Macaca fascicularis: one gene and its partner. The protein of the gene in region 1 purifies or fractionates together with the protein of each later gene. This does not show direct contact. Links are inferred from orthologs where the notes say so. Each region holds a gene or a part of one and is shown on either strand. Other genes may lie near its edges.

Region 1 (2,270 bases):
GGCATCTATTGGGGCAGGAAATAATCTAAGTGTCCTTCAATCTGTGTCCCTCATTGGGAAACTTTTTTGTGGGGGAATGGGTAGTGTTGGGATCATCCCAGCCTTAAGTAGACTGACTGCAAAGGTAGTCGTCATCTGCTGCACTGTGAGTTCTCATCCCTCCCCCTTTATTACCTCCTCCCACAGTCACGCTTGTATCTTCATCTGAAGTTTAGAAATTGTTGCTTTGGTTGACTGCCTGGTACTAACCAACAAGTGCTGTTGCTATAATTTCTAGAATTAAAAAGTTCATACATGTAAGATTTTTGTAGTTTTTCTTAATTTTTAAAGGTGTACATCTCCTGTGTTTTGTGACTGAAATTGGCTCCAGTCTCTTCATGCTGCTGTGTCCAGTCTCTGAAATAGTAATTTCACTCATGTTTGGTGGAGGATATTTAAGAAAAAAACTCTCAGAAGGGTAGCAAACTTTACTGATCCTAAAATCTAGTAGGTGAACAAAGGAAATGACAAATTTTTAATCAAAGTAAGCAATAATGACAGGTTTATTGAAAATTTCCAGTAGAGAAAACCCACTAGTTTTGGAATAAAAGTACTCAATGTACGAGAGCATAAGTGAATACAAAAGATTAACAGAAGAAAGATAAAACCAAACATAGTACAAAAAAATTTAAAAAGTTTGAAATGAATTCAAACTGGGATGTTCTTTAAATCCTCCAAATATTTAACAGTTACTAAGTTTGGCAAAAAATTCACTTGAAAATTAAAGCCTATTTCTGTACTGTAAACTCCGTAAAAACTGCTTATTAAATTCAAGCACTCCATATAACTGGTATTGAAACATGTAAGCAATTTCAGAATAGCAGGAATTATTCATTTGTTCTCACAGTTACATGAATTAACCAGCTGCAGAACTGCCTTTTGAAGAGCATGAGATAAAAGAATGCCAAAAGAGAGAGAAAAAAATGATAAAAATCTCTAAAAAATGGAAACACAGCAAAATTCAGATATCAGTTTGTTTCTTTAAAGCAACAAACTGAATTTTTACAGTATAGTCTACATTTGCAGTTGTCATTTCCCTCTTCCCCCCACCCACCTCAAATACTCCTAAATTCACTAGTCTAATCAATTCTTAACTTCCAAATACTCTGTACATACATATTTAGGAAAGAGCATATGCCTAGCATTATTCTGACAGCAAGTATGGTCAGTATACAATTTTAGAAAGATTATTATGTATATCATCAAGACTAACCTTTACTGAAAACAAACAAACAAAACCATCGCTAAACAAATAGTTTTAAAATATTATGAAAACCCATGAAAAGAAGACTCAACATGGGCTCTAAACCTGATAAAACACGTTTCAGAACAACTATTAATGCTAAACTTCTGCCCAACGATGACCTTAAAGTGCCAAACACCAAAGAATCTCTTAGGACCATTTTCTAATAGACAATTTGTCCCTGGCTTGGCCATTTCTCCTTTAACTATACACAAAGTCCTGCTAAAAGTCTGCATTTTAGTTTGATTTTACAATAGAATGTTACGATGTAAACTAAACAGGTTCTTGATATCAACAGTATGTTACCAAGGTGGGTTTTTTTGTTTTGTTTTGTTGTTTAAATTTCTGAATCCAACAGTTGGTCACAGAGGTCAAGTATTATCAAGGCTCCTTTGTCAGTTCTCAATCGTGTCTGACTCATCCATCCTTCAAGTACATGCAAGGCTCAATAGTTTTCAAGAGGCAGATGCCTGGGGCCATTTAAGACACAGATGAAATAGGATTATGAGGTGAACCCATTTGAGTAAGAACTTTATCCAGCCACTGGAGGGGGCCGTGCAGATGTATCTCAATCCAGCAGGGGGTGCTAGTAACATCCTGGCGGTGGTATTCTGCTCCCCAGCCCTAGGAAAAACATACTGGAGGTCATTTAACTTGTTTTAACTCAGTGGTTAAACTTATTAAGTAAGAAGGGTTCACATAACCAAGACTCTGATTAAAGCTATGCATCTTTCCTCCCTGCCCCCCGCCGCCGGGGAGAAAAAAACACACATATACAAACACACATATAATTTGGCAGGCAATTTCAAAGGATGGATGTTAGCTCCCCAGGGTCCATCCAAGGATTCCAATAAGAATTACCAGTCTTGAGGAATGAAGATTTTAAAATACATTATAAAGTTGTCTTAATAAAGGCACTGTAAAACTTTTATTTTAATTGCCCATTTCTGATAGTAATGTAATAGCTATTATTAAATTCTCATTTTAT
Region 2 (4,057 bases), on another chromosome or scaffold:
ATGTGACATGAAGGGTCCCAGCCTGCGAGGTCTGTCTGCAGCTCTGCCACGAGCATCCGTCCCCAGCCCACAGGTCTGCAGGCAGCTGCCACCTGAGCCCTGGCCTGGCAGGGTCAGAAGCACCCCTGCACACACACACGCACACACACAGGCACACGCACATGCACCCTCCGCAGCCCCCTCCGCGCAGAGGCGACAGTCCCTCGCTTCCATCCACAGCCCCTCCTCCCCACGATCTGACACTCTGCTGGAGGGGCGCCCAGAGAAAACCGGGCTGGAGCATCTATTCACAGATTCAGAAAAAAAAAGTTTGATGCAATAGCTGAATTAATTAGGCCTCCCAAGAATAGCTGAGCCAATGCAGCATTCTGTGTGTGCAATTTAATAAGCCTGGATATTTAAAAGAAAAGTTACACATACTTGGGGAGGTATGCAACGGAAAGTTCCTGAGGACCCCACTGAGTAATTTCGGTGCCTCGTGGCCTGGGAGCTGCCCATGCCGGATCCCGTAGATCCTCCAACTGGCAAACTACAAAGCCAGGCCAGCGGCCTCCCTCCCCGGCGCACCCCTCTGCGTTTCAGAAGGAGAGAAGGAAATGGGTGAGTCCAAAACAAATCCCAAGCCGCCAGTAACTCCAGCATGTGGGCCCAGGGGCCTGCTGACCAGGCCCTCAGCCGGGTGCCAAGTGGCCCTCACCCCACACGGGGCACTCTGGGATTTGGTCCCTGGCAGGCCCAGGGAGACCAACCAGCACAGTGCTGGAGCCGCCCAGTCTCAGGCCCCTGTCGCTGCAGCCTGAACACCTGGCTTCATTTTGTGTCTCTGTCCCAAAACTTCAAGGCAACAAACATGGACCGGGAGCCAGTAACAAAACCAGGCCTCGTCTCGCCCAAGCTCTGTCTCCTGGGGCCCAAGGGCAGGCAGCCCTCCGTCTTCGAGGCTGGGTGCCTTCGGGGTGAGGGCAGTCACCTCCACCCCAACCCCAAGGAAGACCTGGGCCTGAGGCATCCGGCTGGGGCCCAACTGGAGCTAACTTCCCTGACCTCGGAGCAGGCCGCTTTCCCGGGAGCATAGGAGGCCTGTGCCTTCCTATCCTATCTGGGCAAAGGCTATGGGCCTGTGGGCCTTCCCCACACACCAGGCCTAGCCCCCACCCCACCGCCACAGCCCCCACTCCAGGCTCCTCCTGGGGGAAAGGGCAGGAGGGCCTTCCTACTAAACCCTCTGGCCCTGCCAAGGGGAACACTCTGAATTTCCCTAAAACAAAGCAAAGACTTGACACATGGGGCACGGCAGAAACACAGGTCCCAGCCTTTGGAGACCAGAGCCTGTGGCCCAGAAGGGTCCCCCACCGCAAGCACATCCACCCCTGCTCCCAGGCCTGGGGCCACTCACCCGGGGCACCCGCCGCTTGTACTTGTTGCCGTAGTCGAACTTCTCCTTCACGTCGTCCAGGCAGCGACCGAGGCGCGCCTGCTCCTCCTTGCCCGTGTAGTCCTGGCTCAGCAGGATGTAGGCCCGCCAGTTGGCCGAGTCGAAGCCCCAGTGGCAGGTCCGGTTCTCCAGGGCCTTGTGCGAGTGCACCACGAACTTGTGCGGCGGGTACATGAGGCGGCAGTCCAGGCACTGGATGCAGGCGGCGCTCGGGCTGCTGTAGAGCTCCGGCACCAGCAGCCCCTTACACTTGCCGAAGCACTCGTGGTACACGCGGACGCTGCGCTCGCTGAGCTCCAGGCCCAGCGCCAGGCTGGCGGCCAGCTCCTTCTTGCAGGGCGGCGGGTAGGCGCCGCCGTAGAGCAGCGCGTTGCACAGGCGCTCGGCGTCCGTCTTGGTGATGAGCCCGCACGAGGGCGCCGAGAAGGGCAGGATGCCCATGACTTTGAGGATCTCCAGCTGGTCGGCCGTGCAGCGCGAGCAGTAGATGTGGAGCTCGTCGCACACCGAGTTGATCTGCTGCAGCGAGAAGTCGCGCAGCACCGAGTTGAGGATCTGCGGCAGACACAGACGCTTCTCGCCTCCCACCACGAAGCACGAGATGGTCTCGCCTTCTAGCACGGTCTCGCAGCGCTCAGTGGAGCGATCGGACGGCATGAAGAAGGGACCGGGCAGCACGGGCGGCGGCGGCTGGATGGCGGGCAGGTGCAGCACGGGCGGCGGCTCGGTGGCTGCGGGCACCGGCGCCGGCACCGCGGCCGCGCCCGCCTCCTTGGCGCTCTCCTTCTTGTAGGCCTCCTGCGCCCAGCGCGCCGAGAAGGCGGCCGGGCCGCCCAGCGAGCTCATAGAGCTCAGGTGGAACTGCTCCAGCGTCTTCTGCAGCCCCGGGTGCGGCTGGAAGCAGCCGCGGCCGCCTGCCGCCGCCTCCATGGTGCGCTCCGTCTCCCCCGGCCGCTCCCGCTCCCGCGCGCCCGGGCCCCCCCGGCCCCCGCCGCCGCCCCGCGCGCCCCGGCGGCGCCCGCGGCCCCGACCCCGGCCGCCCCCCGCCGCCGGCTCACGGCCGATCACGGCCGCGGCCTCGCCCGGGGGCGCGAAGGGGAAGGCGGGCGGGGCGAAGGGGTCCCGCCGCTGGAGCCCGCCGCCGCCCGGGCCCGGCGCCACATCCACGCGCCCCGCGCCGCGCCCGCCGCCGCCCGGGCCCCCCGCGCGTCCCCCGCGCGCCCCCCGGGCTCTAGGCGCGGGGCATGCCCCGGCGCGCGCCGCCAACGCCAACGCCAACGCTCGCGGGCCCGGGGCTCGCGGGGGGCGCGCGGGCAGGTGCCGGCGCCGCGAGGCGCGAATCGCCGCGGCGGCCGAGGCCGAGGGGCCCGGGAGGAGCGGGGGCGCGGGCGCGGGGCCCGCCGGGCCGTCCTCGCGCGGCGCGCCGCCGCCGCCCCGCTCCTCCCACCGCGCGGCGCCCGCCCGGCTCGTCCCGGCGGCGCTGGCCGGCCGCGTCGCGCCCGCCGCCGGCCCCCGGCCCGCCCGCCCGCCGGCTCCGCGGCCCGCCCGCCCGGCTTCCGGGGCGGCGGAGGCGCCTCTCGCCCGCGGCCCTCAGAGCGCGGCGGCGGCGCGGGGCTCGGGGCGCTCGGCGCACATCCTCCCGGCGGCTCGCTCCGGCTCGGACTGAGCGCCCGGCGCTGAGCTCACGCCGCCGCCGCGCCGCCCCGCCCCGCGCCGCCTGCTCCGCCCCGCGCCGGCCCCGCCCCCCGCGCTGTTTGTTGCCGTGCGTCCGCCTCAGCCCGAGCGCTGGCCAAGAATGTGACCCGCTCCCCAGTCGGGCTCTTCCAGGAACGCGCGCTCCCCGCCCGGACTCGGCCGCGCTCGGCTCCGCTCGCCCGGGACTCGGCCACGCTCGGACCCGCCCTGCCACGACTCGGCTACTCTCGGCCAGGACTCGGCTCCGCTCGGCCATGCTCGACTCCGCTCGGCCCCGCTCGGCCCCGCCCGTCGAAGGCCGCTCGGCGCGGGCGGAGGCGGAGGCGGCGGTGGCGCCCGGGGCCCCCCTTCCGGCCGAGGCCGCTTCCTGCGCGGCTGGGAAGGCGCCCGTCTCGCCGCCGCCGGGGCCCAGAAACCCACAGGCCCCCGCCACGACCGCAAACCAGCTGGGGGAGGCCGGGGGGCCACGCCACGCAGCCGGGGTTCTCCCAGGGTGGGACGCCACACAGCGGGGAGGCCCCGGACGCCTCTGGGGTCCCACACACTACCGGGACGCCACACGGTGACCTGGGGTACCACACACGAGGGGGACAGCGGCCACGCCCAGGGACCCCGCGCCGAGACAGGCACCGCGCCGCGTGACCCTGGCGGCGCAGCCCAGCGGCCCCCGCTGCCCCGTGGCCCGGTGGCCGAGTGTCCACGGCTCCCGCCCGCGCCAGCCCCGCCCCGCCCGACGGCCCCGGGCGGACTGTCCCTGATGCGCGGGCCAGGGGTTTCGGGCCTGAGAGGGGCGGCGTCGGGTGCCCCCGACGCGGCCGGTTTGCCAGCCACCCCGGCCAGGTGGCTTATCAGAATTTCGGTCCCGCGGGTCCCGGCGGGCAGGCCGGCGAGACCCTTGCCCTCCGCCCCAGGGCCTCGGAGCGCTGA

What was found.
Region 2: the proteins of SMAD1 (region 1) and SKI purify together in Homo sapiens (affinity purification with western blotting, with the first as the bait; 3 studies listed by BioGRID). This does not show direct contact. The link is inferred for Macaca fascicularis from reciprocal best matches to the Homo sapiens genes SMAD1 and SKI.

What each region holds. Positions count from the first base shown.
Region 1 is NC_088379.1:150,444,026-150,446,295, reverse strand, and holds the end of SMAD1 (mothers against decapentaplegic homolog 1), read right to left. Parts: intron 1,907-2,270; coding exon 1,763-1,906; 3' UTR 512-1,762; downstream 1-511. UniProt on the Homo sapiens protein: Transcriptional modulator that plays a role in various cellular processes, including embryonic development, cell differentiation, and tissue homeostasis.
Region 2 is NC_088375.1:232,546,661-232,550,717, forward strand, and holds the start of SKI (ski oncogene), read right to left. Parts: upstream 2,814-4,057; 5' UTR 2,366-2,813; coding exon 1,397-2,365; intron 1-1,396. UniProt on the Homo sapiens protein: May play a role in terminal differentiation of skeletal muscle cells but not in the determination of cells to the myogenic lineage. Functions as a repressor of TGF-beta signaling.